Linked DNA regions of Rattus norvegicus. The protein of the gene in region 2 purifies or fractionates together with the protein of the main gene of each other region. This does not show direct contact. Links are inferred from orthologs where the notes say so. Each region holds a gene or a part of one and is shown on either strand. Other genes may lie near its edges. The genes, in order: Polr2f, Polr1d, Polr1e, Uxt, Polr3c, Polr3b and Polr1b.

The links.
Region 1: the proteins of Polr1d (region 2) and Polr2f purify together in Homo sapiens (affinity purification with mass spectrometry; 4 studies listed by BioGRID and IntAct, with this or other methods). This does not show direct contact. The link is inferred for Rattus norvegicus from reciprocal best matches to the Homo sapiens genes POLR1D and POLR2F.
Region 3: the proteins of Polr1d (region 2) and Polr1e purify together in Homo sapiens (affinity purification with mass spectrometry; 3 studies listed by BioGRID and IntAct, with this or other methods). This does not show direct contact. The link is inferred for Rattus norvegicus from reciprocal best matches to the Homo sapiens genes POLR1D and POLR1E.
Region 4: the proteins of Polr1d (region 2) and Uxt purify together in Homo sapiens (affinity purification with mass spectrometry; 3 studies listed by BioGRID and IntAct, with this or other methods). This does not show direct contact. The link is inferred for Rattus norvegicus from reciprocal best matches to the Homo sapiens genes POLR1D and UXT.
Region 5: the proteins of Polr1d (region 2) and Polr3c purify together in Homo sapiens (affinity purification with mass spectrometry; 3 studies listed by BioGRID and IntAct, with this or other methods). This does not show direct contact. The link is inferred for Rattus norvegicus from reciprocal best matches to the Homo sapiens genes POLR1D and POLR3C.
Region 6: the proteins of Polr1d (region 2) and Polr3b purify together in Homo sapiens (affinity purification with mass spectrometry; 6 studies listed by BioGRID and IntAct, with this or other methods). This does not show direct contact. The link is inferred for Rattus norvegicus from reciprocal best matches to the Homo sapiens genes POLR1D and POLR3B.
Region 7: the proteins of Polr1d (region 2) and Polr1b purify together in Homo sapiens (affinity purification with mass spectrometry; 5 studies listed by BioGRID and IntAct, with this or other methods). This does not show direct contact. The link is inferred for Rattus norvegicus from reciprocal best matches to the Homo sapiens genes POLR1D and POLR1B.

Annotation. Positions count from the first base shown.
Region 1 is NC_086025.1:112,599,537-112,603,009, forward strand, and holds the end of Polr2f (DNA-directed RNA polymerases I, II, and III subunit RPABC2), read left to right. Parts: intron 1-2,597; coding exon 2,598-2,669; intron 2,670-2,841; coding exon 2,842-2,932; 3' UTR 2,933-2,973; downstream 2,974-3,473. UniProt on the Homo sapiens protein: DNA-dependent RNA polymerase catalyzes the transcription of DNA into RNA using the four ribonucleoside triphosphates as substrates.
Region 2 is NC_086030.1:13,084,005-13,087,069, forward strand, and holds the end of Polr1d (DNA-directed RNA polymerases I and III subunit RPAC2), read right to left. Parts: intron 1,193-3,065; coding exon 922-1,192; 3' UTR 501-921; downstream 1-500.
Region 3 is NC_086023.1:64,085,123-64,088,260, reverse strand, and holds part of Polr1e (DNA-directed RNA polymerase I subunit RPA49), read right to left. Parts: coding exon 3,128-3,138; intron 2,168-3,127; coding exon 2,034-2,167; intron 1-2,033. UniProt on the Homo sapiens protein: Component of RNA polymerase I (Pol I), a DNA-dependent RNA polymerase which synthesizes ribosomal RNA precursors using the four ribonucleoside triphosphates as substrates.
Region 4 is NC_086039.1:3,678,554-3,682,703, reverse strand, and holds the start of Uxt (protein UXT), read right to left. Parts: upstream 2,801-4,150; 5' UTR 2,795-2,800; coding exon 2,697-2,794; exon of another isoform or gene 2,652-2,696; intron 1,055-2,651; coding exon 973-1,054; intron 836-972; coding exon 768-835; intron 499-767; coding exon 391-498; intron 1-390. UniProt on the Homo sapiens protein: Involved in gene transcription regulation. Acts in concert with the corepressor URI1 to regulate androgen receptor AR-mediated transcription. Together with URI1, associates with chromatin to the NKX3-1 promoter region.
Region 5 is NC_086020.1:186,944,463-186,947,962, reverse strand, and holds part of Polr3c (DNA-directed RNA polymerase III subunit RPC3), read left to right. Parts: intron 1-61; exon of another isoform or gene 62-197; intron 198-412; coding exon 413-668; intron 669-766; coding exon 767-952; intron 953-2,252; coding exon 2,253-2,338; intron 2,339-3,500. UniProt on the Homo sapiens protein: DNA-dependent RNA polymerase catalyzes the transcription of DNA into RNA using the four ribonucleoside triphosphates as substrates.
Region 6 is NC_086025.1:20,936,134-20,939,633, forward strand, and holds part of Polr3b (DNA-directed RNA polymerase III subunit RPC2), read right to left. Parts: intron 1,457-3,500; coding exon 1,343-1,456; intron 1-1,342. UniProt on the Homo sapiens protein: Catalytic core component of RNA polymerase III (Pol III), a DNA-dependent RNA polymerase which synthesizes small non-coding RNAs using the four ribonucleoside triphosphates as substrates.
Region 7 is NC_086021.1:136,804,130-136,807,629, forward strand, and holds part of Polr1b (DNA-directed RNA polymerase I subunit RPA2), read left to right. Parts: coding exon 1-56; intron 57-787; coding exon 788-944; intron 945-954; exon of another isoform or gene 955-2,156; intron 2,157-2,211; exon of another isoform or gene 2,212-3,368; intron 3,369-3,500. UniProt on the Homo sapiens protein: Catalytic core component of RNA polymerase I (Pol I), a DNA-dependent RNA polymerase which synthesizes ribosomal RNA precursors using the four ribonucleoside triphosphates as substrates.

The DNA.
Region 1 (3,473 bases), on a different chromosome or scaffold from region 2:
TCACAGGAGTGAGGCGTCCTGACAACTCAGTCTAAGCCAACTGGATGGTCATACTCTGTGGGAGTAAGATGGATCCTGCTTAGTCCGGGCTTTAGTGTTCCTTCCCCTAGGGAGCCCATGCCCTCTGTTCAAGCACAGCCAGGCTGGATTCTGTACACTGAGGCCTGGGCTGTACCTTTGCTTAGGGGCTGAATGAAATGCCATCTTGGATAGCTTTTGGCGAGTCCAGTCTGGCCTGCGTGCGCCACCTGCTGGCTGATGTCACTCACCTCATCTTCACTGGATGATGGTGACATGTTTATTTTAGTAGCTGCAGCACAAGACAGTCACTTCAAAGCCTGCGCTTGCATGTCTGTGGGGCACTGATGAGCGATGCCCTTCAGTTACTGCTGTGATGTGAGGAGAGAGTGGACACGGCCGGTCAGGTCAATGGTTACTTATGTAAAGCACTCTGTGTATGTATGGCAAACTAAACAGGACCTTACATGTTTTACTGCTGAGCTATACGTCAAGTTTTGGGGACATTTCATTATGTCAGAAAAGACATTTGGTTTCTGCTCTTTGGAAAATTTCAGGATTTTAGGATTAGCAGAGACCAGAATATTTAGTCACAAACTAATAAATGTCAGTCTCAAGGTGGTCCCCAGAGTCACCCAGGTACCTCTGAAGGTATAATTCTCAGACCCCCTCATGAGCTGAGGGATTCTGTCTGGATCAGCAGTTAAGAGCACTTGGTGCTCTTGTATCCAGTGTCCTCCAAAGGCACTGGAAACCTCCATGTAAGCAAAACACCCATACACATAAGAAAATCATTGGTCTTTTATGGCCTGGAGAAGGCACTGGCCCTTGATTTTGGATGCTTGTTCGTAAGTCTGAATCTATTGGCGTCAGGCTGTCCAGGGTTATTAGAAGCGTCTGTCTGCAGGAGACAGGCCTGGAGTTGATGTGCCCTTGTTTGCCATTGGAAGTTTTGCTTGGACCAAGCATTAGCTGGGGCCTGGGCCCTCATAGTGGATCATGTGTGGTTCTGGGCCACCAGACAGATGTTCATAGTCTGGTGTGGACAGTAGTATGGTGGCTTTGATGCCAAGAAACGCATGTTTAACTCACCGGGGGCACAGAAGACAGATTCCCAAGGCTCAATGGTTGAGAGCACAGACTGCTCTTCCAGAGGTCCTGAGTTCAATTCCCAGCAACCACGTGGCAGCTCACAACCATCTGTAATGGGATCCGATGGGACACTCTTCTGGTGTGTCTGAAGAGAGCAACAGAGTGCTCACATAAAAAAAAAAAAAATTAAGTATATCTTTAAATAAAAAAAAGGAGACAGAGGTGGGTGAGGACAGAGAGTAGAAATGAAAGGGATCTGTGCCTGTTGTCCATGTTGTGACAGAAGTCCAGAGGACAGGCTTCTGGCTTAGTACATTTGGCTCACAGTCCTGGAGCTTAGAAGGTTCAAGAACATGGCAACTCACCTGTGGGGCCTCAAGCTGCATCGTAATATGGCAGAGTGCTGTTATTTGGTAGAACTGAGCAACCTTGCTAGCTTGGATTTCTCTTCCTTTAATAAAGCCACTTAGGCTATCATGGTGGTCACACCTTTGTGGCTTTCTTTCTTTTTTTTTTTTTTTTTAATTTTTTTTTTTTATTTATTTATTATATATAAGTACACTGTAGCTGTCTTCAGACACACCAGAATAGGGCATCGGATCTCATTATAGATGGTTGTGAACCACCATATGGTTGCTGGGATTTGAACTCAGGACCTCTGGAAGAGCAGACAGTGCTCTTAACCACTGAGCCATCTCTCCAGCCCCTTTGTGGCTTTCTAAGAGCTCCTTCTCCAATACCGTCGTCATCTTAATTTGGGGGACACTTAACCATAACCTAGGGGAGGCATGGAAGTTTGTTCTGGCTTGAATGAGGGGCCAGGCTGGAAGAGTGTCACTCTTCTGGGGGTGTTGCTATGCAGGGCCTTCTCTGATGGGGTATGACATGCAGATGACTTCAGTATGTTACCTGGGACATATCCCAGCACAGTGGTGAGGAGCAGACCTTGGCTCTGCCTCTCTGCCTACGTGACCTGGGGCAGGACACCTTTTATATTGGATAGTTTATGTATTTACATTTCAAATGTTATCCCTTCTATGAAGATGTTCCCACTCCCACCGCAACACCCTGGCATTCCTGTACACTAGAGCTTCACCTTTCTGTACCTAGTTTCCATGATAGTAAAGTGGAAGTCAAAGTAGGCCTCTCCCACTGAGGCAGAGGTCATGGCAGGTAGCTGTCAGTGTCTGGCGTGCAGAGCCTGTCTGCTATCTGGTTTTTGTCATTGTTTCCCCAGTGAGGTAGGGATCTCTTCTTCAATTTTAGAAGAGGCTGTTGGGATGTGGAGAGAAATTCGGTGACTTGTGCTTACAGGCACAGTTTAAATCCAGTCTGCCAGCCTTCCCTCTGCTCAGTGGTGGCTCCCTGAACACTGCTGCCACCAGGCCTGCCTGTCCAGGTGACCTTGCTAGATGAGGATCAGGACAGCAGATCCACCTTCTCTGAGCCTTGTCTGCTGTCTCTCCAATCTTTCTCTGTCTCTGCAGGATGTGTGCCCCAGTAATGGTGGAGCTGGAGGGGGAGACAGACCCTTTGCTCATCGCCATGAAGGAACTCAAGTAAGTCTGCCCCTCCTTCAGAGTATCTCGGGCCTCTTTAGACCTGTGGCTCATGCATGGCCAGCCCCCGGGAGCCAAGGGAGGGCATTTCTGTGACACGTGCTACTACCACCTGTTCTCTGCTGGGAGCCAGGGCACCAGCTCTCACTTCATTCGACTTCTCCCCACACAGGGCCCGGAAGATCCCCATCATCATTCGCCGTTACCTGCCAGATGGAAGCTATGAGGATTGGGGCGTGGATGAGCTCATCATCAGCGACTGAGCAGAGCTGTCAGGCTGTGCCAGGCACCATCTCTATGCCCATTTTATACATGTAAATAATAAACTTCACTCTTCACACCCCCTCTGCCCCTGTTGCCTGCATGCTGACACCTGCTGCTTTCTTGTTCCTGCCCTACTACAGGATGGGCATACATTGAGGTGACCCTGTGACTGTTAGCTCTTTCTAAAGCACCAGGGCCCCCATCCCATCCCTCCATCTCTCCCCATGCACCAGAGCAAAAGCTGCTGCAGGGAGACACCTCAGCTGCCTTCTCAGCAGACAGATGAGTCTTTGTGCCCAGGGAGCTGGTTGCCACGGAAACCCCCAATTTCCTTTCCAGTGGGGACTGGCTGCAGGGGCTTCTCCCTTCTCAGGAGTATCACAGAGCAGGTTTCATCAAGCCAGCCATTGTTCCTAGGGACCTGCCTTGAGCTCTTATCGAGGACTCAGATCCCCTTTCAGGAGCGGTGCTTTAGCAGGAAGCGTGGGGGTGCAGTGATCCCCCACTGTCCCCAGGCAGAGCCCTGTTGGGCAAGGCAGC
Region 2 (3,065 bases):
TCAGAGTGTTATTTGTGTGTGCGTGTGTGTGTGTGCGCGCGCGTGTGCACATGGAGGTCAGAGGTCACCCTGTAGGAGTCGGCTGTCTCCTTCTGGATAGGTTCTAGGGATTGAACTCAAGTGACTGGCTTTGTGGCAAGCAACCTTACCCACTGAGTCATCTCCCTGGAGCAAACGTTTTTGGTTTTGTTGTTGTCTTTAAATGAAAATGAGAAGAATCTGCAGCCACGAAGTAGACGTTCACTAATATGGAAGGCCGGAACTTGGGGGAGGGTGCCGGAAGGTTCAGGAGGAAGCAAGTGTTGTTCTCAGTAAGTTCCACACAGCTTTAGCTATGGCACACATCCATAGCCGAGAGTCTGGGGAGCAGTGAAATGGGGCACAGTATTAGCCTATACTTGCCCTTGTGCCTGCTTCTCCGAGTGAGCGCTGACTGGCAGCATGGCGGAGTCCCTCAGACTGTGAGCTTAGCATCTGGTACCCAAAAGAGGAAACCATAGTGTTTTTAAATATTTTATTTATTTTTTGAGAAATTCTGGGAAATGACCACAAAAGTGCAGTACATCAAAAAACTAGGAGTTTCTAACAAGCTCAAAATCTCAAATTCTAAAACTCCTTGTTTGAAACGAACTTCAGGTAAGGTAGATAAAGACAACATCGATGTGCAGGGCAATGCGGAATCAGCTTGCTCTCACCACGACGCCTTCAGGATAAGGTAGTTACGATTTGCTTTAGTAAAGTTTTTCTTTTCCTGTTAACAAGAGCAACAAGAACAACAACACAGTACCAAGAGACACCGTAAAACAAAGGACCCACTGAGGAAGTCACTTTCGGATGTCAGAGCCCGCCACCTCCCGGCCTCCTTGCCTCGCTGCGCCCAGTGGCAGGTGCAGTACGGGCTGGGCTGGCCCTGCAGCCATCTCATCGCCGGCTGGGCCTTGGGTCACACTTGTCCCGGGAGGCCCGCTTCCTTGGAGGAGAGCAGCCCACTGAGCCCCGGGCTGAGTGAAGGCTGCGCTTGTAGGAGTGGCTTCTGTGTTTCTTCCCACTTGTTTCCTTCTGGTCTTGACTTTTGCCAGGCTCCTTACTGCCCTCTTTTTGTTCGTGGTCTTGCTCTTTATGGGAGGGCAATGTGTTCTTAATTGTGTTAATAAGGAATCTTTTATTCGTACCAGCGAGAGGACACTTCATCCTGTGGATGTGAAGAGGGAAGAAGACATCATAAATGCAAGAGTTAAATTCCCTCCCTGTCTGGCCCACGAGCCAGATCAGTACAAAAGAATTCAGGCCCCACAGAACCAGTTCCTGAGTTTGTCTGGCTTTCCTTGCCATACAGTGCTGGAGCAGGAGGACTGCCATGATTTTGAGACCAGCGTGGGGTACCAGGTCAATTCAAGTACCAGGTCAGCCAAGGCCCTGGAAAGGTGGCGCAATGGCCCTGTGCCTGAACGTTACAGTGCTACCTCATCAGACTCTACAGTCCCCACAGCAGTCACACCACAGCCCGGCAATGGTGGATTTAGGGAAAACTCACCACAGTCTAAGTGTCTAGCTACCAGCAAGCAGGGAAGCAACTGCAGGCAGAAGTGTGTCAGTGCACTTACAGCTAAGGTTCCTTCCAGCAAATGAGCAGAGGCACATACAGTGAGGGGTGACTGGCCACTCAGGGACACAGGACAGTCACGGCATGGACAATGTTGGAGCAAAGAAGCACTGACTGACTCAGGTGAGTACAGCATGACAGACAGGCCCTGGCGAGTGCTGATTCCCAGTTATCTTTAGAGCAGACAAGAGGGTGCTTGGTCATAGAGCAAGAGGCACGAAATGCAGCTCGCTGCCCCTGTGCTGCAGACAAAGCCACCACACCAGCAATGGCACCCCATCTTCTGCTCCACATACACCCTTTGCAATACAGAGGCTACAAGTATGGAGACTACGAGTCTAGAATGAATGGAAGGTCTGGGGCAGGGGCAGGCCCTCCATGCAGTGAGGTGACATTTATCCCGAAGCCATGGTTGACCACAACTCATGTCGTTGTTTAATACCGCCACAGCTACTATAATCACCCGTGGTAGTTAGTGCATTACAATCTGGCAATCAAATGCCTCAGCGTGTGGCCATCTGAGAAATGACACTCCTTCATTATTTACATACTCCCAAGGTTTACCACGTCCCCAACACTGTCCCGAAAAGGAATGTGAAACACTGGATGAATATATGCCTGTGTCAAATGCATATGTAAAAGCATTTACTATACTTAAAACCTTATGTATGCGGGACATTATACTAGGCCTGTGCAACAAAGATAAGCCAGGCTCTCAGTGGGCGATGTCTGCTATGAGGGGACAGAAGCAGGTGGGCATACAAAGGGTTGCTGTGCGGACTGAAAGCCCCAGGGCTGCAGCACATGGACCACTGGTACAGACTGTGACTGCACAGCAGTCCACTCAGGACTCCAATTTACCTTCAGTACGGACAGGAGAGGGAGGTGGCCAGCAGGACCAGGAAGCACTCACTATGCTGCAGAGTGCTATCAGGCAAAAAGAGAAGAGCTTGGCACAGGGGCCGACGATGCTTCAGTCCCTCGGCTGGAGGTGGGGTGGGGTCTCAGCAAACTTCTCTGGCCCCATAATTTTAAAGCACAAGAGAGAGACTGGATTTCTGTGGTTCTGAAATATGGCAAAGGGCTTATCTATGACAAATGTACAATCCTCCCAGCCTCCCCGCTCAACTGAGATCACCTCCTGTTTGTCTATCCACCAGAGCGTAAAAAAGCCAAAGGCCAAAAAAACAAGTCTCTTTAACTCTTTCTTGTGCCTGGCTGCAGGAACTACCCACTGGCAAGCAGCAAGTCCGCATGGAGCAGAAAACCGCCCGTCTCCAGGACTGGAGAAGCGATCTCCTTTCTGATACTCGACCCGCTGGGGATGTCGCTGTGTGTGGGTGGGAGGCTCTGAGAGTGAAAAGCTGGTGGCAGAGAGTAGCCGAGATGAGGTAGGCCTCTCCTCTCTGCCTGCAGACAACCTGACCCCCTCCGGAATGCACCCAACACCTACTGTAAACCA
Region 3 (3,138 bases), on a different chromosome or scaffold from region 2:
CATCCTCGGGCAAAGGCAGAGTAGTGGCTGGTGACTTGGCGAAGCTAGCTGGGAGGGGTAGGGGACCCAGGGAAGGGCAGGGGACCCATCCCAGTCAGGACACCAGCTGGCTGTTGGCAGAGCTAAGCAGAGAATGTGGCCGGAGCAAAGGAGCCATTGTGTTTTTAAAGTTGCACGGTAGGTATGAGTGTGTGGCCACCACATACGCTCCTGGAAACAGGTGGAACTGTGAGTTTTTTTTCAAGCCAGGGTTTCTCTGTGTGGCTGTCCTGGAACTCACCCTGTAGACCAGGCTGGCCTCAAGCTCAGGGATCTGCTTGTCTCTGCTTCTCAAGTGACTGGATTAAAGGCCTGTGCTACCACCGCATGGAGGAACTGGAATTTCTAACTTTACAAACTGACTTTCTCAGTCTGAAATAAAGTGTTATAACACTACCACCAAAACAGGGAAGGAAGGAAGGGAGGAAGGAAGGAAGGAAGAGAGGAAGGAAGGAGGGGAGGGAGGAAGGGAGGAAGGAAGGGAGGGAGGAAGGAAGGAAGGAAGGGAGGGAGGGAGGAAGGGAGGAAGGGAGGAAGGAAGGGAGGAAGGAAGGAAGGAGGGGAGGGAAGAAGGAAGGGAGGAAGGAAGGAGGGGAGGAAGGGAGGAAGGAAGGAAGGGAGGAAGGAAGGGAGGGAGGAAGGTAGGAAGGAAGGGAGGAAGGAAGGAAGGGAGGGAGGAAGGAGGGGAGGGAGGAAGGGAGGAAGGAAGGGAGGAAGGAAGGAAGGGAGGGAGGAAGGGAGGGAGGGAGGAAGGGAGGGAGGAAGGAAGGGAGGAAGGGAGGGAGGAAGGGAGGAAGGGAGGAAGGAAGGGAGGAAGGGAGGAAGGAAGGGAGGGAGGAAGGGAGGAAGGGCGGAAGGGAGGGAGGGAGGAAGGGAGGAAGGAAGGAAATGTAGTTTGATGTCAAGGTAATACATGATTGGACAATAGAGAGTGGAGCAGGGACAATGTTTTTGTAAGTCGGGAGAGAGGAGGAAGGGGGATCGAGATGGAGTCTTCGGAGGAGGATGGTTCAGATTTAGGTGAATTAGATTGACTTTATCTTGTCTAGGTGGGTGGTTTATATCTTTATCAATTGGCAGTGAATTTTCTGTGTGGATGAATTGTGGATTGAGAATTTAACGTGTAAATCTAATTGCTAAATTACAAGTTTCTGGAACTTTTGATTTTACTGGGCTAAAGAGGACAGTGTGTGAAAGAAACGGCTGAGAGGCAGTTGGAGTGTGTGGATCTGGTTCTGTTGCCCTCAAGGAGCGAGAACCCGCAGGGCCAGCAGATATGTGTGTGTCAGAGTGGTAACTAGCACCTAGGGGACCTCGTGGAGAGGGCGGCTAAAAGGAGACAGCCGGGAGAGGGCGGCCTGCAGACCTCATAGCAGAGTAGCAGCTGGAGCGAGTGGGTCCGGCTTGCGGGAGCAGATAGAAAATGTTCCTTTTTAAATTTTACCACAACAATGAGAGAGAGGGAGGGAGGGAGGGGGAGAGAGAGAGACAGAGACAGAGAGAGAGAGAGAGACAGAGAGACAAGCCAAGTTCGATGGGGCACTCTGGAGGCAGAGCAAATGACTCTGTGAGTTCAAGGCCAGCCTGGTCTGTACAGAGAGTTCCAGTCCAGCCAGGAATATACAGTGGGACTGTGCTGTCCTACAACACCAAAGCAGCCTGAAGGTGCAAATCGAAGCTCTGACTACTCTGTCACTGCTGTCTGTCCTGACGCACTCCCTCTTTGTTCCATTTGACCTGGATACAGTGTTTTCCTAACAAAACAAAAGCAGTGAATGTGCTCCCTGGAAGCCCCATCCACCCTGTCCCCATTTCCAGAACAGAACAAAGAAATTCAGAGAGGAGAGGCCTGTGCGGCTCAGGCAGGCAGCGGGAGCAGGAGGAAGGGCAAGGTGCACAGAGGCCCTGGACAGACATCGATGGAGGTGATGTCAGAACCACAGACAAGCCAGCAGCTGGAAAGAGCTGGGATAAGAGAATGCTGTGGGCCTTACTTTTCCCTTTTATCACTTTCTGAGCTCGGAATCTGAGGAGGGCATCTAGGAACCAAATGCTCCGGGCTTGCCGGTTTCGCTGCACCTCGTCTGCTGGCAAAGACTTCAGCATTTCTATGATGAAGGAGCAGTGGCTAAAACAAGAAAGGGTCACAGCAGCACATGAGGGGAAGCAGGCTCTCAGGAGCCACACCCCCTCCCCAGCACACCGTCCATACACCCAGAGCAAGACGGCTAAGGAGGCCCGCCCTTCAGGGTGCACCAGGTTTGACTGACAGACTCCATCGCACTGAATAAGGTAGACAGCAATAGTGGATGACTCCTATAATCAAACTCCACGTGCACCCACACGCAAACACATACACCACGCACACACAAACACATAGGCATTCATACACACTCAGACACACACACGCACAATCAAATTTTTAAAGAGTAGGGGAGAGATGGCTTACTAGAGTATTGCTGCTCTTGCAGAGAACTCCAGTTTGTTTTCTACCACTCCCCTGGGCCATTCCCAACAGCCTGTAACTACAGATCTAGAGGATCCCATGACACCCATGTCATAGGCACACATACACACATACAAAATCTTAGAAAAGAAAGGAATAGTTAGAAGAAAAGGCTCAGAACTAAGAAATAATCTGACTATCATTTAAAAAAAAGTTGTTTTAATGGCAAAAGAGAAGAGGGATGGATAATCTCTGTTATTTAAAATAAATAATGTTTAGAATCCGTATTTAATTTTAGTTAAGTCTGTCAGCATGCTGTCACAGAGAAGCCTTGCTTTGGGCTCCCAAGCTGGCCTTTGGGCACTGACAGTGACACTCTGCTTCAACAAACAGTAGAGGCGGGGCAAGCTTTGGTCCCCGGCCCCAGACTACAGCACCTTACTATCATCTCCCAGCTACAGGCTCTACACACATGACCACTCCTCTTCCTTGAATCCACCCACAGCTCCTGGAAGCCTAGCATCGAAGCTTGCTCCTTCCTTCATTCCAGGCTGCGCAGACGCCACCCATGCTTCACGGGGCTGCTTTCTATCTGACTGGTTTTTCCCATGACTCACTGAAACCCCATCTACCCACGAGTACCTGTTCTCTTC
Region 4 (4,150 bases), on a different chromosome or scaffold from region 2:
TTGCATCCTCATTTTTTTTAGCTCTAGCCCTGAAGAGGAAGGTAGTATGTTTTTTTTTTTTAAAGTACCATCCCAGGTAGCTACGGGGAAAAGGGTAGAGTATTGAAATTTATGATGTCTATTTATTATTTTTTTCTGTTGTTTTATATAGAGGGATTTGTTTTATCACCCAGAGTGGCTTCAAAATCAGGATCCTCCTGCTTGATCTTCTAGAGTCGTAGGATTACAGGTATGAACTACTGCCGTATCTGACTTTTATATATTTTGTGTATGTGTTTGTGTGGTGTGTGATACGGATAGAACCTAGGGCTTCACACATGCTAAGCAAATGTTCTTACCACTTCCCTGCACCCTTAGCCTTTAGATACTATCCTCCTGGAATGAACTCACTCTGTGAGGAGGGAACTCTTTCGGTCAATGAACTTGAGAGCTTCGGCCAGTGTCAGTTCCAGGAAAAAACCGTATCCCAGGGCCACATAGATGCGTGAAGTATCTGGGCTGAGGAAAGAGGTCGGAGGAAGTGGAAGAAGTCTTTATTACCATTTAGCATACTGTATATAGTTTAAGGTGTTTCCTATTCCTTCCTATTCCCCAAGTGAAGGCTCTGTAAGGGCAGATATTTTGTGTTCATTTCTCCCACGACCACAACATGTTGCTTATATCTTAATGTAATATAAAAGCTACTAAAGCCTGGTATACAGAAAATACTAAGAAATACTTGTTCCATGAAAAAAGGGAGAAATTTAGAGGGGAGAGAATACACTCACACCATTGTGTCAACGAAGAAGTTACAGCCCAAATCCACCTGCATATATAACTCCGAGTGATTAGTTTCCTATAGGGCCAGGAGAAAAGAGGTAGGTGTCAGTGGCCAACTTTTAAGGCAGATAAAGGTTTTGTTCTGGGGGTTCTCTTCCCGCCTCCCTTCTTTGTACATATACACAAAGTGGCACCCAATTTAAAAGCCTTTACCTGGAGTCGCTCAATGACATTTCTTAGTTGAAGGTATACAGACAGCTGCTCATATACCTTGTCTCGATGGTCCAGTACCTTTCTGATACGTAGAAATACAACAGTGAATATTAGGCAGTCTTACTCCTTTTGAGATGCAGCACATCATGCCCTACTAGGCATTTTAAGCCAGATGGGGTTGTTCATGGATGCAATCCATGGGCTGAGGCAGGAGGATTATGAGCTCAAGACCAGCTTGTGTAACATAGTGAGACCCTGTGCCTGCTCCCCCAAACACTCATGATGGGGCATAGATAAGGACACAGCCGGCATTTCAATAAATATAGGTGAGACTGTACTTCATCCTGACCTCTACCTCTTGCTAGTAATGTGACTATGGAAAGTAGGAAACCTGTTTGGGATTAAGTTTCCCCACATAGAAAATAGAGATGGTAGTATTAGCATATAGGAGTCATTAGAATCAAGTGTCTACTACAAAGTGTTTTAAATGCTAGCCAAATGGTAAGCATTATATACTTAGAACCTATTACAATGATAAATATTGCATTTTACTCAGTGACTTATGCCAATTAAAATGTCCCATCTTCACCCTAAATATACCTCCCCGTTTCTTTTAGCATGATTACACAGCCCTAGTTCTCAATACCTAACTTTTTATTCAGATTAGTAATGACAGCAATAGTAATCATCTAGTTGTTGAGCTTTTAGTGTATTTCAGGCACTGGAGGCAAATTCCTTTTTCATAAAAGTTATCCAGGTTATTTCCAGAGACAATATCTGAGTTTCTCACGCTGGTATTGAATTTGTAATCACACCAAACAATCCTCTCCTCTCAGCCTCAATATAATAGTAGTTGGGTTTATCTGCATTAAACATGTGTTTATTTTGTGTGCATGTATAGGTGCCATGATACACCTGGAAGCTTTTTGGGAATCTTTTTCCTTCCATCATGTGGCTCCTAGAGATCTACGTTAGGGCATGGTGTTGGAGGCAAGCCATCTTGCTGGCCCTAATTTGCTTGTTTTGAGACATAATATCAGAGCCCAGGCCATACACAACCTCGAAATGTAAGTGAAGGTTACCCTGAACTCTGGATTATCCTGCTTCTGATACCATCCCAAGTACAGGGATTGCAGGCCTCTGTCACCACACTAGTTTTTTTTTTTTAAATAAAATATTGTTATATATTTCAAGGCTGGCTTGTAATCCTGGCTAAAAACGTGAATTTCCCCATCTCTCCACTAGAGATGGCACACACCATGGAGCCTGAGCCTGGCTTTATTCTACTTTTCCCCCTTTGAGACAGTCTGTAGCCCAGTTTGGTCTCCAGCTTACAAAGATCCTCTTGCTTCTCCCTCCTGTGGCAGAATGTGTTGGAGTTGACACATTTAAAACTCAAACACCACGTTAAAAAGGCCTAATAAACTTTTCCATTTCACAGATGAACGAAGTTCATAAAGCCTAGAGAGGCAAAGTAAGGTACAACTTGTTCATAAATATTAATTAAATGGCTTAGTTAGAAACACATTAGGTTCGGAATGACTATTTTAAACCAACAAACATGGTCGGAGCTCTGCTAAAGGGATAAGTTCCAACCAAATCTCAGCCCAGAAGTCAACCTTCTTCCCAGAAATCTGGTTGGCCAACCCGAAAGTTTGGCCGCATTCAATCCCACCCACCACGTCGAATTTCTCAAACGTCACGCCTCCCGCGTTGCCACTCACTGCAAGTCTCGCTGCAGTACGTCACTGATAAAGGCCTCATACCGCAGCACTTTCTCCCCCACCGTATCCAAGGCCCGCCGTTTCGGGGGCGTCGCCATTATGTGCTCCTGGGGATTGAAGGGGGAGGACCCACGTTGAGCGCTCCAGTTTAACTTCACAAAGTTCTCATATTGTGCACGACTTCTTTCGACTCGTGCTATGGAGTTCCTTCTGCCCAACCCTACTTTAGGACTAGTTCACTCACCGATACGCAACCGCGACGTTCACCTAGGGGCCACCAGCAATAACTGTTATAACGAACCGCGGCTTCCGGCTGGCGCGGATGGATGACGCATTTCCAGCACCAGAGCCAACCATAATCGATGGGGCGGGGCTGCCCTTCGTGCGAGAAGACGCATTTAAGGGAAGAGCTGCAGGCGGGGCCTGAATGAGTCCCTGGAGGTAGCAGGGTCACGCTGTTGGCCTGCAGGCAAATAAATAGTCGCGAGCTGGCGGGAGACTGGTTTGGGTGACGTTTAATGAGTTTTGGCGGGTTCTGAGGAAAGGTGGACTTACAGGAAGGTAGGGAGAGGGAGTTAAGTGTTTATAATTTCTTTGAAGTGTGTGTGAGAGCAGTTGTGAGCTACCGTGATGTGGGTGCTGATAATGGAGTTCACATTCTCTGCAAGAGTTGTGTGTTCTTAACTGATGAACCATTTCTGTATTCCTCCCTCCCCACTCTTAAATTCCTTCCTATTTTATGTGTTTTGTTTGCATGTTTATGCACCACATGTGTGCAGTGCCCACAAAGGGTAGAAGAAGTTGTGGGATTCCCTGGAATTGGAACTACTGGCAGTTTGTGTGCACCATGTGGATGCTGGGATCGAATGGCCAATGCTCTTAACTACTGAGGTATCCATATAGTCCCTACTTTTTTCTTTTAGAAACATTTCTAGTCTTTGAGAATTTCATAGATGTATGCAATATATTTTCATTATCTCCACTCCCTATTCCCTCCAACTCGTCCTAGACCCTTCCTACCACATTCCCCTTCCAATTTCATATTCTCTTTAAAACAAAAGACCAAATCAAAACCAAACAAACAAAAACCTCACTGAGACCACTTAAGCATTTAATAATTTAAAAAGCACAAGAGTGCCTATAGACCAGCAAGTATTATGGTACTAATCTATAAGGAAGGCAGGATATCTTGTGGCTCGCGCTCTCTCTCTCTCTCTCTCTCTCTCTCTCTCTCTCTCTCTCTCTCTCTCTCTCTGTGTGTGTGTGTGTGTGTATTACACACATAGTTTGGTTTTCACCCTCCAAAGGGCACATAAAAATGTTTAAACAGAGACAAATTTTAAGAAAATCATCTTAAATGAATTTCTGCTTGATACCTTGTCCCCCAAACCAAAACCAAAACCAAAATTTCGTGCTACATATATTTAAAATTCAATTTGGTGTGCTTAAAACAG
Region 5 (3,500 bases), on a different chromosome or scaffold from region 2:
CCTCTTGATTTCCTGCACTGACATTAGCTACGCCAACCCGAAGAGAAAGTAAGATTCTATGTGCAGTCAAGACAAATTCAGTCCCCGCCCTGCCATGGTGGGAACTGGCCTAGATGGCTGCCAAAACAAGTTCTGCTGCTCATGGGCTCTGGGTCCCCTAACCTGGGACCTGGGGATAAGTTTGGCTGCAGACACTGTACTCTAAACATAGGGGTTCTCAGGGCAGACAAAAGGCAAGTCCTGGTATTTCAGCTCAGGCCCAGTTGCTTTAAAAACAAAATTTAAAGAGATTCATTAGACTCTTTGCTAGTGATCTGATGCTTACTAGGCTGTGGGAGGTATGCTGTATGTTCAGCAGTGGTGAGCTATATAGCGTCAGGCCTTTCCTGACTTTCTTTTGGGTCCTATCTAGGTGAAAAAAGCCCTTTGTGTCCTCATTCACCATAACCTGGTCATCTATCATGTGCATAAACGCGGTGTGGTGGAGTATGAAGCCCAATGCAGCCGGGTACTGCGGATGCTTCGGTACCCCCGGTACATCTATACTACCAAAACACTGTATGGTGACACTGGAGAGCTGATTGTTGAGGAGCTTCTGCTGAATGGCAAAATGACAATGTCGGCTGTTGTGAAGAAAGTAGCAGACCGACTCACAGAGACCATGGAGGGTCAGTACTGCATCTAAGCTCCCTGCAAAGGCATAGATAAGTTAGCTGCTCCATCATCTAGACCTTCTCACCCCACCCCCTTTCTTCCTGTTGTACAGATGGCAAGACCATGGACTACGCTGAGGTGTCAAATGCATTTGTTCGACTGGCAGATACTCACTTTGTACAGCGCTGTCCCCTGGTTCCTGACACTGACAGTTCTGACCCCGGGCCGCCGCCACCTGCCCCAAACCTTGTCATTAATGAAAAGGACATGTACCTAGTTCCCAAACTGAGCTTGATAGGTAAAGAGTTTACATCCTGGGGGTTGGGGATTTAGCTCAGCGGTAGAGCGCTTGCCTAGTGAGCGCAAGGCCCTGGGTTCGGTCCCCAGCTCCGAAAAAAAGAAAAAAAAAAAAAGAATTTACATCCTGGAATTGTGGCTTGCCTTAATTGGGGATTCTTCTTCACTAATTGTTATTTGAATGAGCATCTTGATTGTTTACCAGTTCCTTGCTGTGTGCCAGTCACTGTAGTATGTAATAATGAGTATGTAATAATGTAAAAGCCAGGATCCCTGCCCAGAAGACATTAATCAGCCACACAGATATGTTATTCGGGGTCTGAAGAGGTGGCTCACTGGCTCTCTTCCTCAGGACCCAGATTCAGTTCCCAGCACCCATATGGCAGCTTACAACTGCCTGTAACTCCTGTTCCAAGGGATCTGACTCCATGATGCAGGCAAAACACCAGTGTACATAAAATTGAAAAAAAAGAAACAAAAGATATGTTATCCACTGTGATAAGAACTATGAAAGAGCTAGCTATTTAAAAATGTGTAATGAGGGGCTGGGGATTTAGCTCAGTGGTAGAGCGCTTACCTAGGAAGCGCAAGGCCCTGGGTTCGGTCCCCAGCTCCGAAAAAAAAAGAACCAAAAAAAAAAAAAAATGTGTAATGAGGGACTGGTTTTGTGCAGGTGGTTAAGGCTTACGTTTTTCTGAAAAAGTGGAATTTGACCTGGGTCTTAAAGCAGAAGTAGGACCTGCCCAGTGAAGTGACCTAAGATGGGTACTTTTTAAAGACTTGTGTGTAGTAAGAAGAAGAAATAGAGCCTTCGAGAAAGTGAAAGGTCAGAGTCACAGCAAGGTGAGCAAAGTTCTGAGAAGCATGGGAGAAGAGGAGAGGGAGGACCAGGTAAACAGGCATTGCAGAGCAACTGTTCTCTAAGCAACAGCAAAGGAAGACTACGCAGGTGTTAAGCAGGAAAGCCACATGGTCTGATTGACATTGTAAATTGTCTAAAAGACTGAAAGGCCAGGGCAAAGGCAAATAGAGACGGACTATTGAAAAAGTAGTAGCATGGTTTGTACTGCTGCATGCATGGGAGCGCAGTGCTGCCATTCACTGATAGGCGGTGTAGGAGGAGAAGCAGTTTGAGGGCACAGACTATGGATTTTCTTAGGTGGCGCCCCCACTGACTGGAGTTTCTCATGACTCCTCGGCCTCCTAAACAGCTCCTGAAGCAGACAGCTACAGATGTCTGTGAGCTTCGCTTCCTGCCATCATGTGGTACAGTCTAATTATTTGGTGACTTTATTTGGCAGGAAAAGGTAAGAGGAGGAGATCATCTGACGAAGATGCTGCTGGAGAGCCCAAGGCCAAGAAACCAAGATGCACAGATAATGAGGAGGTAACGGGGCTTCCTGATTAGCAGTCCTCACCCTAGAGCATCCAGAAACAGCCCTCAGATAATGAGCTCTGACAGAACCTACATGTTCCTGGCTAAGAAGGAGTGGATTATGAACTTCAGTACACTATTCAGGGGCACCAGTGAGGACAGAGTGTCCCTGCTGTCTCTGTCCACCTCTCCTGCCCTTTATACTGAGGAACCCTGAGAACTCCTGGGAGTCCAGGGGACTTTTGTGGAAGGACAGCCACTCCATTTCCCTTCTGATTCTTAACTTATTTCACTAAATAGTTGTACTAACTTACTCAAAAGAGAAAGCAGGGCTGGATGTGGAACACTTGAGATACAGAGGCAGGAGGATCTCTCTAAGTTCAAAGCCAATCTGGTCTACATACTTACATTATGATTCATAACAGTACCAAAATTACAGTTATGAACTTGCAACAAAAATAAATGTATGGTTGGGGGTTACCACAACACAAGGAACTGTATTAAAGGTCACAGTATTGGAGTGGGGGAGATGGCTGGGGATGTAGCCTAGTTGGTAAATTGCTTGTGGCATGCAGGAATCCCTGGGTTTGATTCCCCAGGACCAAATAAAAGCAGAAATGGTGCCCAATGTGATACCTTTAACTGCAACACTTAGAAGGCAGAAACTAGCAGATATCTATGAGTTAGAAGCTAGTCTGGTCTACAGAGTGAGTTCCAGGAGCTACATAGTGAGGCCCTATCTCAAACAAAACAAACCAGAAATGGCACTACATAGCTATAATTCTAGGACTCAGAAGGTAGAGACAAGAGAATCAGAAGTTATTCTTGACTACAATGTAAGTCTAAGGCCAGCCTGGGCTACATGAAACCCTGTTCCCAAAAAACCAACAACCAAATGAGATTTTTCAGCTAAGCTATCAAGTCCTAACAATCCTTTTCCCTTAGGTGCTGAAATTACAGACAGGTACAAGATCATGTCTGCCTTGTTACATGGATGCTAGGAGCCAAACTCAGGTCCTTATAGTTCCACAACAAATGTCTTTAACTTCTGAGCCATCTGTCAAGCCCCCAGGACTATCTGTCATCTCTTGGCAGCACTTCTCCAAAACTCTCCTCAGTGATCTTCCTTCTGGCATTCTTACCCAATTAGTGGCCAGAACTACTTCTTAGCTAC
Region 6 (3,500 bases), on a different chromosome or scaffold from region 2:
ATGATTTTAACAGGCATTGCACCTGTTCAAGTTATGGTCAAGATTGAGTCTGGCTTTTAAGAAGCCAAGCCAAACGGTGGCTTCCCAGTCTCTTCCCGGTACAGCATGCTCAGTGAGAATAAGGGAGCAGGTCCTTACTGGACACCTGTCTTTGTGTGCCTGTACCTGGTCCATGAGAGGGACTGTGGAGAGACGAGGCCTGCAGGCACCCTTACCCATGGAGCCATCTAACAGGCCTGTGATGTAATTTTATTTTTCCCAATACTTTTTCTCTTCACATGAAGACGTGTAGTTACAGGAGGCTGACAGCAGTCCTAACTTCCTTTCCTGCCAACTCCGAGCTCACAACCCTGACACCATGCCTTGAACTGGCTGTGTCTCTACATGACTCTTCCCTCTTGAAGGAAGGAAATACCCAACTTGTTCTTAGGTTACACAGGAGCTTACACTGAGGGCACTTCAGAATTTTAGAGAAACTTTGGACTTTTAAAATGTTTGAATTTTTTTAAAGACCACGGAACTTTTAGAAGTTGGGATGTTTTACATTATGATATTAATATTAATATGACATTGTGGGGACAAACAAGAAAGGAAACGTTACTGTTGAATAGTACTGTGCTGAGTTCACATGGGACCAACTGTGCTGGCTAGTTTTTTGTTTGTTTCTTTTCTTTCCTTTTTCCCAACTAGACCTATGCTAGAGTCTTCTGAGAGGAAGGAACCCCAGTTGAGAAAATGCTTCCTGAGGTCGCCTGTAGGCAAGCTTGTTGGATAGTTTCTGGACTAATTCTTGAGCGATGTGGCAGGAACTGCTCACTGTGGGCGGTGCTGTCCCTAGGCAGGTGGTCTTAGAGGTATCGGACAGCAGGAGGAGCAGGACAGTAAGTAGCTCTAAGGCCTCTGCTTCAGTTCCTGCCTGAGGTCCTGCCCTGGCCTCTCTCTGTGACGAGTATCACCTGACAGTTGAAGAGTTAATTACATTCTTTCCTCCCAAGTTGCTTTTCCTTATGTTTAATCACAACAATAGAAAGTAACCAAGGCAATGTTTAACACACCTAAGTAATTGGTATCTTAAGGGAAACAGAAACTTGGCTGGGACTGTTTACCTCCACAGAGAAATCAGCAGTTCCCCCAAAGCCCCAACACACACACACACACACACACACACACACACACACACACACACACTCTCACACACACACTCTCACACACGCACTCACACACACACTCACACACGCACATACACACACACTCACGCATGCACACACACACTCACGCACATAGACACACACACACACACACACACACACCACACACACACATACACGCAGTGCTTCTGTACCTGGTAAGGACAGCTCGTGGTCCTCTGGCCCGGGCATGCATTTTATCCAGCACCATGTGTTTCAGTTTCTGATAGTACACAGGCCCAAAATAGATGTAGGCTTCTAAGGGCTCACTGAAAGAAAAGGCAACACTGGGTTTAGGCAACAGAGTTTGGGTAACTGGACAGACAGCCTGCACTAGGTCTCATCATCTGGAGGATTTCCTTAATTGTCTTCTCAGAGATTGTGTCCGACTGTGTGAGGACAAGCTTCAGCCTGTAGTCAGTGCAAGGCTAGACCAAGCTACAGAAGCACGCCACTGTTTGAGAAGATAATGCTTTCACAGAGAAACACCATCAGCAGGATGACCCTCTTCACCTGCCGCACCAGGCCAACAGCTTTTCTTCCTAGGTGGATCTTTCGTCTACTCTCAGCACTAGACAATCTGATCTACTGGAACCATCCAGAGAGAGTCCTCCCAAACCGGAAATCAGAGCATATTCTTGCTCTAGAATCCCCAATGGCTTCTTCTGAGATTCTATGTAGTCCAAATTGTACATGGCTATCACACCTTCTACCTCAGGACCTCTCCCCCTGGCCCACACTGACACTGCTCTTCTGTCAGGTACAAGCATGGCCCTGGCAACAGTGCAGCTTCAGTTGGCCTGGAACTTCCACACAGTCCAGGCTGCTGTCAAACCTGCAAGCTTTTGGTCTCCACCTCCCCCATGCTAGGATTACAGCTGGGAGCCTTTTGAAGGAGCCCTCCTCCCTCACGCTCCACCACCCCTTCCACCACTCCACCCTGTAGCGCTCCCAGCATCTTTGTGTATAATCAGTTTGTCTCTTTGCCTTTTGTCTTCCCGTGAGAAGTCAGTTCTTTGTCTTTTGCCACAGTGGTGCCAGCATCTATGAGCTTGCCTGGCATACAACTAGTGCTCGATAAATGTTTGCTACACAGCTTATCCCACTAGTGAATAAATATAAATAAATATAGTAAAAATCTCAAAAGTGAGTGCTGTGACAAAAAAAAAAAAAAAGGTCTTGTCAGAAGCAAAGAGCCAAGGATTGGACACCTTCAAAACGCTCTTCATTTTCCCCAAGTGTCCTTCCTCAAAGAGAAGGAAGTTCTCGTCAGCGCTGTTTAATCTAGTGTACTGAGCCTCTACTTTTGACGGTGTAGAGACAGCCCAGTGAGCCCGAGAGGTGAGGTAAGAGCAGTGAGAGGGGTGACCAGGTTCAGATCCCGTGCTCTCTCTGCCTGCCACAGCGGCCTGTCTGAAAAACAAGCTGACTTTGAGCAAAGCATGTGGTCAAGTGGGAAGAGCAGAGGAAGCCACCAACTGCAGAAAGGCGGTTGCAGTCTTTGGCCCAGCCTGCCTGCCCCAGTTCTCCTGTGCCAGTACACGAGTGAGGGCCGCTGTAGTCACTGAGCTGCTCTGTGAATTTCAGCCCAATGGCACCCCAGGAAGTCATGGTGGCAAGGGCCTTGAGAGACCCTGCTCTTGTCCCTATCTGTCATGGACACTGCATGACCTCCCCAATTCAGTTTTGATTGTGCATCAAGGTGGTCAGCCAAGGGTCTTTGCAGTTCTAATAAGTAAGTGACTGTGGTCCTCAGGGATGGTAACTCATAGTAGAATTCATGGACCTACAACCCAATGCTATTTCATCACCAACAGAGTAAACCACATACATGCAATTGCTGCGTCTAGCTAAGATCAGGAACATGGGTGGGGGCAGGTGGAGGGGCACAAACGCCCTCCCAAGCAGGCTCAGTGCGTCCCTGAATGGAAGTGAATGGCATGGAGGTGAATGGCAAAGAGAGGAAAACCCATGTGGGCACCAAGGGAGCAGTGTAGACCTCAGCTGTCTGCACAGCTGTGCATAGCACACAGCAGGTGGCCCTGCCGCATCTTTCAGTGCACTTATGTTTAGGAAGCTGCACTGAATGGGGCCTGTGGTGGTGCACACTCTCTGGATAATTTCATTCCTGAGTAGAAATGAAGGCCATAGGTCTAGCGATGACTGTGTTTTTTAAAAAATGGACACCTAACTACATGACTGAACCATACTTAAATGAAGGAAACCATTAGAGTTTTCATAGGATGAGGTTTTGTTTCATTTTGTTTTAAACATCCTAAGAATGACTTACTTAAGGAAACCTGTATCAATGCC
Region 7 (3,500 bases), on a different chromosome or scaffold from region 2:
GGCCTGTGCAGAACCTGGAGCTGGGCAAAGAAGAGCTCGTTGGAACTATGGAGCAGGTAGGTACCCGCTGCAGTGCTGCTTCTGTAGAACGCAGCGTGCAGAGCCTCAGCCATCGCTTTCTAAAGTATTTGATAGGAGTCAAGCTGACGCTCTGGCTCTCTTTGCCCAGTGCTGCTGTCTTGCCACGCTTCCAGGAACCTGGGGGAGGGAGGCTTGGTGCTCACATGACTACCCTTTGTGCTGTCCAGCATTCAGTTCCTTTACACTTGGCTCTGTCCCAGTTGCTAAGACCAAGGCATCCTGTTGACTCGTCTCGGTCATCACCTACGTCTTTGCCATTGACAAATAGATTTGTGCCTACTTTAGAAAACTGAAGCTGGGTGTTGTGGTGCACAGTACCCAGCCTTGGGGAGGCAGAGGTAGGCAGATCTGAATTCAAGGACAGCCAGGGCTACACAGAGAAACCCTGTCCAAAATAAATGAACATTTGTCTTCCTTTCTGGCCCTCCACAGTTGGACAGGGTAGATACAGGATGACTATCTCAGGGAAAGCATTAGGGAGGTCCTTCAGTGGCGGAAAGCTTGGCATGAAGACTCTAGGTCCTAACTCTAGCACCTTAATAGCAGGGAGTAGGACATCTGTCTGGAAGCGGTCCGTGCTTCTGGCAGAGCTCATAAGTGATTTGGGTGATACAAGCACTTGGCAGCCCCAGCACCAGCCCCTGGGAAGCAGCACGACCGCCACAGGATTTCATGCCTCTGCCTTCCTGCCCTCCCTCTGCTCCAGCTCTTCATGAACATTGCCATCTTCGAGGACGAGGTTTTTGGTGGAGTTTCCACACACCAGGAGCTCTTCCCTCACAGCCTGCTGAGCGTGATAGCCAACTTCATCCCCTTCTCTGATCACAACCAGAGTCCTCGGAACATGTACCAGTGCCAGATGGGTAAGGTGGGTGGGGAGGGTTGGGGGTGAGCACAGCACAAAAAGCATTTGTAAATTAAGTTGAAATGATCAAACTTACAGTGAGTTTCAAGAATAGTATGAAGAATGCCCACAGATGAGTCATCTGTTGTGTCCCCAGTTTGCCCAGTTTGCTTTTTCAAGCATAATGGTGCCTTCCCCCACACATCAGTAAATGTCTGCAAGAGCAGTATGCACTCCATATTTTAGTCCTCATTCTCTTTGAAGGGAGGTGGGGAAGCAAAGGCCTGTGTCCAGTTCTCTTGTGTCCCATTAGTGTGTGTGTTTGTCTTCCGTGGTGCAGAAGAACTCTGTTTTGCATTTTCAAAGATGGCTTCTCTGCTGAGGTCCTGTGACTTGCACCGTTACCATCAGGTGCTTCCTTACTGCTTTCAGTACTCCTCATGTCTGTCTGAGTCACGCTCTCAGCATTCGTCATTTCTTTACCCCCCACTCCCACCCCCACCCCCACCCCCAGCCTTCCTTAGGCTGGTCTTGAACTCTGTATCCTCCAGCCTCTGTCATCCCACACCACACTTGGATCCTTGTGGCATATTGTTGTTCACTTAATACAGAGCCTCTTGTGGTCATTATTCCGAAATTTCTTTTTCATGCTCACCTGAAGGACATCTTCACTGACTATATAATCCTGAGTGGACATGTCCTTTTATTTCACTGTGTCTGTTACTTCTAACTAGAAGGCAGGGCTTGCAAATTATAGTTTTCCTGCTTAGTGTACTGTTTTCCCTCTCTTTAAGATTTGTTCTGAAGCTGGACAAGATGGCGTACATACCTTTAATCCCAGCTCTCAGGGGGCAGAGGCAGGCAGATCTCTTGAGATTGCAGCCAGCCTGGTCTACAGAGCAAGTTCCAGGACAGTCAGGGCTACACAGAAAAACCCTGACTTGAAAATACAAAACAAAAGGACTTGTTCTTTATTTTTGTTTTCAGGAGATTAGCTGTATGTCTAGATGTGACTCTCTTTGTGTTCTGATAGCATTTACTGGTCTTTATAAGAAAAAAACTGATCAACTTTGGAACATTTTCAAGGGTTTCAAAACTTATTTCTTCCTCTTTATTGCTTCTCCTCTTTCAAGACTTAGCCATGCGTTTCATAAATAACCCTGTGGTTATTCACCTTGCTGTGTGTGCAGGTTATGTGTGTGGGTGTGCACATTGCAGCATGAGTGTGGAGGTCAGGGGACAGGGCAGCATGAGGGTGGAGGTCATAGGACAGCATGAGGGTGGAGGTCAGAGGACAGGGCAGCATGAGGGTGAAGGCCAGAGGGCAGGGCAACATGAGGGTGAGGTCAGAGGGCAGGGCAACATGAGGGTGAGGTCAGAGGACAGGGCAGCATGAGGGTAGAAGTCAGAGGACGGCATGAGGGTGGAGGTCAGAGGGCAGCTTTGTGGAATAGTCTCTCTTCTTGCCTTTATGCTGGTTCTAGGAGTTGAACTCCAGTTGTCTTTCGGTCTAGACCTGTTGTGTTGGGGTGTTTGTTCTTGTTACCAGTTTGTTTTCTGGGGATTTGTTCCCTCTTCACTATGGGCTTGTTTTCCTGTGTATGTTGAGCCTGATTAGTGGATGCTGTAAAGTTACTGTTCCAATGTTGGGGTGGTCCCAGGACTGCTGTCCACTGACTGTAGTTTTTCTTGAGTGTGAGTTATGTTTACTGTTTACACTATGTTATAGTGTTTCAGTAATCTCTGTGTCAGCTAACGTCACTGGTAGCCCTTTAAGCTAGGCCCCTGATAGGCCTCTCTGAAGGTGCGGTCAGCCGCCAGTCTTTTTTTTTTTTTTTTTTTGGTTCTTTTTTTTCGGAGCTGGGGACCGAACCCAGGGCCTTGCGCTTCCTAGGCAAGCTCTCTACCACTGAGCTAAATCCCCAACCCCCAGCCGCCAGTCTTGACTGATGTTTAACTGGGTTCTTAGTCTCAGTTAAGCTACTTGGCTCAGTCTCATGCAGTTCTCACCAAAGGTTTACACTCAACATATGTGCAGAGTAAAGGCTCTTCCTCTGTTAGCCACATTTAAAAAAAGGGGGGGGGGGTTGGGGGATTTAGCTCAGTGGTAGAGCACTTGCCTAGCAAGCACAAGGCCCTGGGTTAGGTCCCCAGCTCCGGGAAAAAAAAAAAAAAAGAAAAACAAACAAACAAACAAAAAAATACCTCTTACTTTCCAGCAGCTGCCATGCTATGAATTCTTTTCCTTGATTTTTCTAAACATTAAATAATTAAAAACTTATTTTATTATTTTTATTTTTGAAATCTCAAAGCCCATCCTCAATGACACACATTTCCTCCAACAAGGCCACACCTACCCCAGCAGGCCACACCTACCCTAGCAGGCCACACCTGCCCCAGCAAGGCCACACCTACCCCAGCAAGGCCACACTTACCCCAGCAAGGCCACACCTACCCCAGCAAGGCTACTAATCCCTCTCTAGCTGTGCCACTTCTGATGCCTGAGCATTCAGACATAGGAGCTTGTTTGGGTTTACTGTACCAGGTAGTGCAGTCTGTCGAGGCAAGAGGTGCA